Linked DNA regions of Danio rerio. The protein of the gene in region 3 interacts with the protein of the main gene of each other region in a pairwise test. Links are inferred from orthologs where the notes say so. Each region holds a gene or a part of one and is shown on either strand. Other genes may lie near its edges.

Region 1 (4,235 bases), on a different chromosome or scaffold from region 3:
CACCAGCCACTTTATTAGATACACCTGTCCAACTGCTTGTTAACACACATTTCTAATCAGCCAATCACATGGCAGCAACTCAATGCATTTAGGCATGTAGACATGGTCAAGATGATCTGCTGCAGTTCAAACTGAGCATCAGAATGGAGAAGAAAGGTGATTTACGTAACTTTGAACGTGGCATGGTTGTTGGTGCCAGACGGGCTGGTCTGAGTATTTCAGAAATTGCTGATATTCTGGGATTTTCATGCACAACCATCTCCAGGGTTTACAGAGAATGATTAGAAAAAGAGAAAATATCTAGTGAGTGGCAGTTCTGTTGGTGCAAATGCCTTGTTGATGCCAGAGGTCAAAGGAGAATGGCCAGACTGGTTCCAGCTGATTAAAAGGCAACAGTAACTCAAATAATCACTCGTTACAACCAAGGTATGTAGAAGAGCATCTCTGAACACACAACACGTCCAACCTTGAGGCAGATGGGCTACAGCAGCAGAAGACCACACCGGGTGCCATTTCTGTCAGCTAAGAACAGGAAACTGAGGCTACAATTCACAAAGGCTAAACAAAATTGGACAATAGAAGATAGGAGAAATGTTGCCTGGTCTGATGAGTCTCCATTTCTGTTGTAACATTCAGATGGTCGGGTCAGAATTTGGCAACAACAACATGAAAGCATCGACCAATCCTGCCTTGTATCAACGGTTCAGGCTGGTGGTGGTGGTGTGATGGTGTGGGGAATTTTTTTTTTGGCACACTTTGGGCCCATTAGTACCAATTGAGCATTATGTCAACTCCCCAGCCTACCTGAGTATTGTTGCTGACCATGTCTATCCCTTAATACCACAGCATGACTCATCTCAGACTGGTTTCTTAAACATGACAATGAGTTCACTGTACTCAAATAGCCTTCACAGTCACCAGATATCAATCCAATAGAGCACCTTATATATATATATATATATATATATATATATATATATATATATATATATATATATATATATATATATATATATATATATATATATTACATAAATTCAATATTTTACATAAATTCAATATTTTAGTTGCCTTTTTGTTACAGTGTGACATTATTAATCCTTATATCTTCTTGAAATAGGAAAAAGTGGTGGTTTATCGTCATAACGTACTTTTCAAGCAAAGCTAGACCTGCTGCTACTTGTCAAAATGGGCGGTCCGGACGTTTTCTCTGATTGGTCAGATGCGAAGAATCCCAATAATCTTTTTGAAGAAGTAATTAAACCATTATTTTCATCAATTCTAACTGAAGTAATAATTATATCTTCAACGCATGACCTTTTATAAATATAAATGATTCTTTATATTATAGCCAAACTAGTCATGCGTTATCACGTGACTTCTGTTACTTTACTCAACGCAAGTGAGAACGGACCAATCACAGCTGCTTGTGCTTACTCGCTCAAAATCCATAGCTTTATTCGCCATTGAATTGCTGTCAGGTCGACTGTTTGTAAACTATGGCTGGCGATAATTTAATGGAGCATACATATGTGAAGCACAAATTCTTCTTTATACTCATATAAATCGGAATAAGTGATGGAATTTGAAATAACGCGCACAAGGCCTTCGCTTTTTGGGGATATTGGTAAGTTAGCATGCCTGTGTGTCTGTTGTTATACATGACAGTTCAGTAAAGATTTGACTGTGCAACTCAGAGTTCACCGTAACTGTACGACACGTTTTCATATAACTGCCGAGATCGGGCTCGATGACATATATTGTTGGCAGACGCGCAGTTTGATCACATGCCGTTTGGCCTTGAATCAGTCACCAATGACAATTAACAGGTTTCTAAAGCCCTGGATCAGTGTGACCTGAGTCAACACACGGATGAGTTTTAGTTACTGTGCTGTACACGGCCTACTACACTGTCCTTTACAGTCGCTTGAAATAATGAGTGAAAATGTCCTTATCTTAATTCCCCAGAGTGCTCAAATTAAGGTAAAGTTGGTAATAGTCACACATTTAGACTTTCCCCGTAAGTTAATAATTCGCAAATTAATTCGTTCATTAATTTTCCTTCGCCTTAGTCCCTTTATTCATCAGGGGTCACCACAGCGGAATGAACTGATAACTTATCCAGCACATGTTTTTAACAGCGGATTCCCTTTCAGCTGCAACCCACTACTGGAACACATCTATACACGCTCATTCATCCAATTCACCTTTACCGCTTGTCTTTGTACTGTGGGGGAAACCGGAGCACCCGGAGGAAACACACGCCAACATGGGGAGAACATGCAAACTCCACAAAGAAATACCAACTGGTCTAGCCGGGACTCAAACCAGCGACCTTCTTGCTGTGAGGCAAGAGTTCTAACCAATGAGCCCCCGTGTAACCTTTATTGCAAATTCTAAATAGTGGTATCATTTTAGCAGCCAATGAATAATCAAAGTACTTCATTGTTCACAGTATAATAAATAGTGCTAATGTTGTTTGGAAGTCATACTTGCATGTGATTTCAGACCCAACATTTAAAGTACCATGGTAAACAATATAAGGAGCAAGTCACAAGTTTTCACTGAACAAGTGTGCAAATATAAAACGAACTTTACGTCAATCGTTTTCAAATGGAGTCATTACAATTTCACTTTGCAGAACACAGCTCTTGCACATGTTGTTGTTGTTGTTGTGTTAGACTTTACAAAATTAGATTTGCTATTTTGCTTTATTTCTTTGGATCATATTTCAGTACATTGCTGTTTTTTCAAACATTCATTAGTTTATTTTCTTTTAGTCCCTAGCTTAGTCCCTTCATTTATTAGTCCCTTTATTTATCAGGGTACTTGTACTTACTATAGTAATATAGTATAGTAATTACCAATAATATGCAGTTACATAATTACATGCAACTAACCCTAAACCTAGCTGTATGCTAACCCTAACCATATAGTAAGATCATGTTATCTATCTATCTATCTATCTGTCTGTCTGTCTGTCTGTCTGTCCGTCCGTCCGTCCGTCCGTCCGTCCGTCCGTCCGTCTAGATTTAGTTGATAAATTTGAATAATTAATTACCAATAAGACTTTTGTATTTACTTGCCTTTGCTTTAAATAATACCATACAATTTTAATATACCATGTAATTTTGTTATTTTTGGTATCACCACGTGCACATGAATTGATAAGTACATATTATTTGTAATATGATTTATTTTTTTATTCTTTTTATTATTATTTTTTATTTATTTATGTGTATCAAAAATGAACACCATATATTACAATACAATGTTTGTGTGTCTGTGTGTGTCTGTGTGTCTGTGTCTGTGTCTGTGTCTGTGTCTGTGTGTGTGTGTGTGTGTGTGTGTGTGTGTGTGTGTGTGTGTGTGTGTGTGTGTGTGTGTGTGTGTTTGTGTGTGTGTGTGTGTGTGTGTGTGTATAAACTGCCAAATTGATATTTTTGCAGTTCACTCTTGTGTATAAATTACATAATGACATATCTGATTGCTGATGCTTCATTTGTAAATCAGTTACGTCCATGTTTTTGTAAAGCTGCATTTTAAAGTTGTTCCCGTCTCTCTATTCTTTCTCTAGCACATGGTTTGGGCTTCTGGACAGATCGTTCTGCAGTGCATGAAGCCGCAGCTCAGGGCAGAGTCGTGCAGCTCCGGAAACTGATCGAGAATGGAGCATCTGTCAACATTGTGGCCGTGGACTCCATCACTCCCCTCCATGAGGCCTGTATTCAGGGCCATACGCAGTGTGTGAAGCTGCTTCTGGATGCTGGAGCTCATGTAAGCAGCATCTCTGTTAGGCATGCGATGATAAATGGTTTCAAGCCGTTTTAAAACTGCAAAAATCTTCTCATAGAATTCCTATGCTATATGTACTTTTTTAGGTGTTTTTTACAACTATTTTATTTTGTTTTTTTAGGGCAACAGTATCTCTAGCAGAAAATGTCCCTCCACATCATAAGCTACTGGTCAGACCACGATTCAGTAAACATAAAAAAAAACAAGTTGCTTATACACCAACATCCAAGCATGCTATAGAGCATGCACTGGTTGAAACTTTTTAACAGAGATTCATTTTGTCCCACATTTAGCCCTTAAAAACTAGTGTGAAGGTGAAGGGCTTTAAAATTTACCCCTAAGAAATGGGAGAGCCCTACAGCACCTGTACACGTCATTATATGTCATCATGATCTCTTGCTTCATATGAGATCAGACGATCGTGTCTGCTGTAGTGATTC
Region 2 (4,014 bases), on a different chromosome or scaffold from region 3:
GGATATTTGGTGTGGGGAAAGCTGTAGGCAATGAGTAAATCATGCATTACAAATGTAATAGTATTAAAACTCACTGCAATCGATAGAGTATGTACTTAATAAAACATTGCTAATGGTTTTTAAATGGGGTTCTGAAGTATTTGACATTTACAGTACTGACCATCAAGCATCCCAATTGAATAATTCAGAAATCAACTGCTGAGTAATGGGTTGGGCTGTTTAACAAGATTTAAAATCTGAAGCGAAAATTGTTGTGAAAAGTGTTGCTGAGATGCACAGATGTACTGCTTTCATTGGAAAACCCAGTCAGATAGTTTAATGCAGCTAATTCAATATGAACTTGCTTAAGCTGTAGTAAAATCAGTAGCATATATGACAACATGCCTGAAAAACATCAGTCTTAGCTGCATGATTACTCGCATCATATTATAAAAAATATGAAGAGATGAAGACAACCCCTTCAGGCTATTTCTTTTAATAATTTGTATTTTAGGCTTTCCCAGAGAGAGCACTCTTCACTTTCAGAATCTGTTTTAGGGTTGTTTAGAAGAAGGTGCTACTCAATGTCAGCTTGCACATCATTAAATGTATAGTAACAGATGATGGGTGATGTTTACCTGGAGCGTCTCCACCTGCAGGAGCAGCAGCACCAGCAGCGGCAGCAGGAGCAGCTCCACCTCCTGCTCCAACATTACAGATCAGACTGCCGATGTCCACGCTGGCCAGAGCCTGAACACAAGACACATCCCATCAGACTCGAAACAATTAAGCTGCTGTACAGCGCGAGGGCTTAATTCAAGAGCAATTCTCTGCACAGCAGTTTTTAACAGTCACATGTATATAGAAACGTTTAGGATGATTCAATTCATAGTTTATATTTGTTTGCATGCCTATTTGGTTAACAATTTCATATTTTAACATGCATTAAACATGCATAAAATCTGAGTCTTGAATCATACCATCAAGATGCTCTACAGCAGGGGTGTCCAAACTCGGTGCTGGAGGGCCTGCAGAGTTTAGCCCCAACTTCCTTCAACACACCTGCCTGGATGTTTCTAGTATACCTAGAAAGAGCTTGATAAGCTTGTTCAGGTGTGTTTAATTGGGGTTGGAACTAAAATGTGCAGGACACCAGCCATCCAAGACTGAGTTCGAGCACCCCTGCACTACAGCATGAGGACTTAATGATGGAAGGCATTCACATTTATCTCTCCATCATCCTCCTGTCAGATGTGAAATAAACTTGCCTTAGCGAAGAGACCAGGCCAGAAGGGTTCGATGGTCACACCGGCAGCCTTGATCAGAGCGTTCAGCTTGTCCTCCTGAAAAACACATTCAGAGAGAGTTCATATCAGTGCATCAACTCATTTAATGCAAATACTGTGCAAGACAATAGCAGCGATCAGATCAAAGCAGCAAAATTATTTGTAAGGTTATGGTTTTTGAGATGCTACAATAATATTTGTAGGTCATTACGCCCCCGAACATGCTTTAAATTCACCTCTAATAGTCTCATTCACTTGTTGGTGAAAGTTTTGATTGTGATGTTTGTTATTAGAATATACACTGAGTTATTAAAACAACATCAGAAAAATAATTAATTGGCTAAGTGCAAATCATGCAGCGTATAATTAGACCATTTCAATGTGGTTATGTCATTGGCCCGTGAACATTTCCTGCTTATCAAACCATTTCATAACTGTAACAGGCAGGTCAATCATAACTTAATGTTAAAGCAGCTATCATAACTATCAATTTTGAGTTCTTGAAAGCTATACAAATTTAAAATGCAAAACTGAAAACATGTTGGAACCTTATTTTTTTGTTTACATACCTCAAAATGGTCTACATGTTTTATCTTGATAGACTACTTGGACATGGACTATAACTATTTTTTATGCATTGTAAAGAATTGAAGTACTTGATTATGGTCTTATTCAGCAAATAACAAGATATAAATCTCAACGAATAAGCTACATTGGTGCAGTTATTCAACTAAAAACTGTCAATAAAAAAAAAACCTGTAAACAATCTCCACAACTAAGATGAATGAACTACACACGTACTTTTCACAACATCATTAATTGAGTCTTGCTTTAAGGTGTAAAAAGAATAAACTTTTAAAAGACAGTCTAAAGCTTAAATATTTACACTTTTTTACATGACCATGATAACTAATGCATGCTTATTTAGGAAATACTGTATTAATGAATACCAGCACATGTCAACTGACCAACTTATCTAGTCTTTAGCCTACTAGCTAAAGTGCTAATGTGTCATTAGCATGATACAGGGATGCTAACTTACCAGGTGCTGATAGCTAGTACGTTCAGTTATGCGTGTTTACAGCCACAATGTGAACATTTATCTGAAGTATTTAAGCCGTACAGGATAACGACAGGAAGCGCGCGAAAATGTGCTATAACGTGCTTACTGCTATTCACACAAACACAGCGACTTAACTATCTAATAACACACCAAACATGTGATGTAATTGAACTAGCAAACGCAGAAATACTAAATTAGCACAAAAATCAGGGTAGCATGCGAGAACCGTAGCGGTTGAGTCCCGGATGTTCACGTTTCGCCGGTTAGGAGCTCAACACTCACCGTGACGGTAACTTCATCGTCGTGGAGGATCAGAGCGGAGTAAATACAGGCGAGTTCGGACACAGATGCCATCGTTCTTTCGGTAGGTTAAGTTTTTTGGTGCGGATGGGCAAATTTGACGGTGCTAGTCGCCGGATTGAAGGCCTTAGCTTCGGGAGAAGAACCGAGCACCTCAAATGCTGCGATCTCAGTAAACGGAAAGGGCCGGAAAAGGGTGGAGCGAAGACTTATATAGACTTGTGCGTCACTTCAGTGGGCGAGACAAGTGAAGAAAACAAAAGCTGTGATTGGTTCGTTTGTGATGTCAGTTATTCGCTGTGTATATGTGCTCACGACAGCGCTGACTAGTGAATGAATTAATGAATAAATGAGTATATAAATATATAAATTTAAAATCATATTTAAAATCGTTTACGTGACTGTACTCGGTATTTTATTAGACTTTTGCTTTACTTTGTAATATTAGTGAGGAGCCTTTTAATCTATGGTACTTGTACCGAAGTATAGAATACCAGTAATATTAAGTAGCTATCTATTTTATTATTTATTTATATATCAAATTCCATGATACTGTAAAATTCCCATACTTCGTTTAAGTTATTTACATGGTACTGTAACGAACCGAACTGTCTTAAACCTTTAGTATTATGCTACAGTACTTTTGTCTTATAGAAGTTTTGTAATTCTGAATGTAATTAATTGTGTAGACACATGCCTGGTGATTTTGTATGCACTAAGAGTTCACTTCATGCCCAATAAATAAATAAAACAAAAATGAATGACTATTAAAGCATATATATATATATATATATGTATATATATATATAAAACGACTGTAATAATAAATATAAAATAAATAATATCAGCGACTGTATAATAAATATAAAATAAATAATATCAGCGACTGTATAATAAATATAAAATAAATAATATCAATCACCGTAATAAAAATATAAAAGAAAATGTAAAAAATATCAGAAACTGTAATGAAGCCTTTTAAAATGAATTAAATCAGCGATTGTAATGTCATATAAAATGAACCAGAAACTGTAATAAAGCATATAAAATATAATAATCTAGACAGCCTGTGTAATAAAGTCTCTTTAATTGAGCAGTTTAATCACAGAAACACTTAATGGAATGAACCAAAAACAAACAAACAGACACATCATCGTCATCATCATCATCCTCTCTGAACACACAAACAACAGTCATGTTACTCAAATTAATCCAACAAAAAAGCCATAATCAGTCCGAACCTCTGCTCGTTTGGCACCCTTGAGATATGCTCTTAATTCAAAACACTATCTGAGACTGAATGGAAAAGCCCCATCCAAATACATTCTGTAAAAATGAAACCAATCTCTCCAGCTTCCGGAGCTGTGTGTGTGTGTCTCAGTCCAA
Region 3 (3,500 bases):
AAAGGAGAATTTAAACATGGAGGAAAAAAAAGCGCAGAAGTATCACATTTACAAAACGCATCGAATATTCCACCGACTCTTGATGTCTGGGCCACCTTCTTGGCGCTCAAAAGGCCTTGGCAAACCATTGTGTCTATTTCTTTTTGTTTGATTTTTTTTGTGAGAAAGAAAAATAATAAGAATGGAGCAATGAAAGTAAGAGCAAGAGTGGTGGAAGCATCCGGAGTGTCTGTGTTTTGCGTTAGTTATCTCATATCAGAGACGGAGCTCTGATTAATGCTGTAGGTGGGTGACAGGTCTCCTCCGCCTATCGTGGCCACCAGGGGCGTCCCGTTACTGTTCAGACAGCCTTCCTGTAGAGCCGTGAAGTAAGAGGCCTGTACTGGTTTGTGACACTGCAACACTTGTATGGCATCGTCAATTTTGAACCATTCCCTTTTTCTCCCTGTCAAAACATTAACACACACACACACACACACACACACACACACACACACACACACACACACACACACACACAAGTTGCTAAGACTTTTATTTCAGTACGTTGATGAACTTCCTACAGAAATGGAATATTAAATAGGGGGCGTGGCTTTCTTTTCTGCACATCATTCACTTGTAGCAAACTAACGGTAAGAGAACGGCGCAAATTACAGGGGGGGTTGACTGATCAGTTACTAAATATCCATGGAAAAACTGAAAATGTATACCTTTTATTTTTAAATTAGATGTAATTTAAATACATTCATAAATTAGATTCACTGAAGCATGTATTACCAAACTACTACTGAAAAAGTTGACCCCCCCCTCCCACACACACACACACACGATTATCAATGTATAATTCGCAAACTGGGTAAGAGGGGAGTGGTTAATTATACTGCTATGCAGTTGCTATGGAGGCCGGATATCAACAGAGAAGGACCGCCACTGCAAATGCAGAAGCAAATAATGCAACAATATCACACAGGAATTCTTAATTTTTTGATTTAGTGGCTAATTCAAATGAATTTGTACAATCTCATTCGTACAATTTAGTCTGATTTTCTTATCCCCCAATGACGGTTGGGTTAGTGGTGGGGTTTGGTGATATGCCTCCTTTTAAAATATTTGTACATTTTCATACGACTACTAATTAGTCATTAAACTAACAAAATGTAAAAAAAAAAAAATTTTTTTCGTGAGATCAGGCTGAAAACGTTTTTCAGTCATTTAACTTGCAAAGAATAATTGTTCACCTAAAGAATAGCAATGTGCGCTAGCAAAACAAACATTGTAAATTTTGATTTCACACATTATAAAGCCAATAAGTTGGCATTAGCAAATGCAGTAACATTGTGCACTCACCAGTCACTTTATTAGGTAGGTACTCCCACTCAATTGCTTGTTACAACAAATTTAGAATCAGCCAATCACATCGCAGCTACTCTATGCATTTAGGGTTAAAACAAAGCATTACAATATGAAAGATTTTAGGCGCAATGATATTACGTAGTGCCTGAAAATAGTCCCCAGCCAGGTAACAGCACTGCATAATAGCCTTGTGCCTGCTGCAGCTATGGTACAGCAGCAAAGTTCCTTGATTATTACGTCGGAATGAGAGTATAGTTCTTGCCATATTGACCTATATAATAGCCACCTTTCTTTTTTATCAGTCTTAGTACATGATGTAACTACAGAAGAGTCAAAGAAGAGTTAAACGGGCATCTAATTAGGATAATGGGTGACGCACATATTATTGTTACCCATTCTTAGTAGAAAAGGAGCCAAGCAACAATGCTCAAAAAGTTGCCCTGTGAATCATCAGCATGATGTTTACCCCTTAACTGACTGGTATTTGGTAAAACTAGTCTGTAAGATCAAGACTTAACATGGTGGCTAATGCAGAGTTCAGACTGCATGATTTTCAAAGTAATCGTGTCACAGATGTTTTCACACAGCATGACTATCTGGGCTGGCATTTTGTCGCTGCTTTGTTTACAAGTGTTTACATTTTGCAACTTTGTCCAAACTACGTTTCACAACCAAACACACGTAGTATTATTTTGTTATTAACTACATTACGAGAAACAAGCCTTCAATGGGGTAGAAAATGTACATTTTTACTTGACGGGAGTTAGCAATTCTTCTTCAAGTTTTTTTTTTTTTGACCCGGTTGTGATATTGCTCAGATCACAACGTTGTTGCCAAATTTACACTAGTATTTCCCTGATTTCTTGGGTCCAAATAAACTGAAAATGTTTTTAACTTCTCCCACAATCTCCCGCTGGCCTGCAGATACCCATACTAGTGGATGCTGCTCTCTCATTGGCTGTGGGTGATCGCTGATTTTATTTTCAGTCAAAACTCATTTCACACAGCATGATTTGAATCGCAGACAGCTCCTGATATTTAGCAAGGCAAATAGCTGACTGTATTTGATAGTTCACACTGTGTGATTGCTATTCGCATGAACAAGCACCGGTTTGCCTATGATATCATGCAGTTGTCGACGATTTCTCAAACCTGTCGGCGAGTCAAAATCGGGGCTAAAATCAAGCAGTCTGAACTCGGCACAAGTTTACAGAACAGACCCCAAATCTCAATCCAAAAGAGCACTTTTGGAATGTGCTGGAATGGGAAACTCACATCACGCATGTTCAGCCAACAAATTATGTCAAAATAAAGCAAAATCCCCTTGCTGAATCTAGGCCACAAAAATTAGGGTGGTTTTAAAAGAAAAATATGGTCCAACTTGGTGCTAGCAAGGAGTACCTAATAAAATGACCAGTGAGTGTACATTCAAACAGGAAACTGGTGTTTTGAATTCTAATATTTCATAATATTTATATTTTAAAAATGTAAATAAAAATTAATCTTACCAAATCCTAACCCGGAGGACTTACCAATGTTCACCGAATCCTCCCAATCTTCCAGAACTTCGGTTACGATGAGAACGTACACATACGTTCTGTGTTTCCTATCTCGATTCTGAGAATAAATCAATATTTAAATCCCTTTACAATTACATTTTACAAGCTTTAATACAAAAACCTTGCTTTCAAATCCTACTTACCTCAAATATTCCTACTAGTCTTCCTAAAGTGCCCTTGACTCCAGCCTATAAAACAATGAACAGATAAAACTGAAACAACAGGATTCATTATGTGGTCAGGGGTTTTCAGTGCAGAACCACTGACTGAGTTCATGTGGATTTGACAGCTGATATGTTTTCAGAGGTCAAGAAAAGACACGGCAGTGAAAACAAGCAGTGAGGGACCGTGTACACCTGACCTGAGTGATAGAGATCCATCAGGACACTCTTCAGGCCAAACGCCATGTAGACAACATGCCAATGGTCGATTATCATCAAGCAGGATCTAAATTTAGTCCAGATATGGTCCAGTTTGAGATCACTAACGAAAATGATTTAATTTGCATTCTTATAATTGTTTTAATATTTTTTGTTCACTGATTTTAAGTACATTTATTAATTAATCATTTGTATAATCATGTTAATT

The links.
Region 1: the proteins of nudt3b (region 3) and asb13b interact in a two-hybrid assay, tested with the Homo sapiens proteins (2 studies listed by BioGRID and IntAct). The link is inferred for Danio rerio from reciprocal best matches to the Homo sapiens genes NUDT3 and ASB13.
Region 2: the proteins of nudt3b (region 3) and rplp1 interact in a two-hybrid assay, tested with the Homo sapiens proteins (2 studies listed by BioGRID and IntAct). The link is inferred for Danio rerio from reciprocal best matches to the Homo sapiens genes NUDT3 and RPLP1.

Annotation. Positions count from the first base shown.
Region 1 is NC_133183.1:12,719,846-12,724,080, reverse strand, and holds the start of asb13b (ankyrin repeat and SOCS box protein 13), read left to right. Parts: upstream 1-1,435; 5' UTR 1,436-1,578; coding exon 1,579-1,627; intron 1,628-3,577; coding exon 3,578-3,777; intron 3,778-4,235. UniProt on the Homo sapiens protein: May be a substrate-recognition component of a SCF-like ECS (Elongin-Cullin-SOCS-box protein) E3 ubiquitin-protein ligase complex which mediates the ubiquitination and subsequent proteasomal degradation of target proteins.
Region 2 is NC_133194.1:2,214,000-2,218,013, forward strand, and holds the start of rplp1 (large ribosomal subunit protein P1), read right to left. Parts: upstream 2,801-4,014; 5' UTR 2,683-2,800; coding exon 2,611-2,682; intron 1,323-2,610; coding exon 1,248-1,322; intron 730-1,247; coding exon 618-729; intron 1-617. UniProt on the Homo sapiens protein: Plays an important role in the elongation step of protein synthesis.
Region 3 is NC_133181.1:56,862,375-56,865,874, reverse strand, and holds the end of nudt3b (diphosphoinositol polyphosphate phosphohydrolase 1), read right to left. Parts: intron 3,101-3,500; coding exon 3,056-3,100; intron 2,971-3,055; coding exon 2,886-2,970; coding exon of another isoform or gene 2,862-2,885; intron 446-2,861; coding exon 246-445; 3' UTR 152-245; downstream 1-151. UniProt on the Homo sapiens protein: Cleaves a beta-phosphate from the diphosphate groups in PP-InsP5 (diphosphoinositol pentakisphosphate) and [PP]2-InsP4 (bisdiphosphoinositol tetrakisphosphate), suggesting that it may play a role in signal transduction.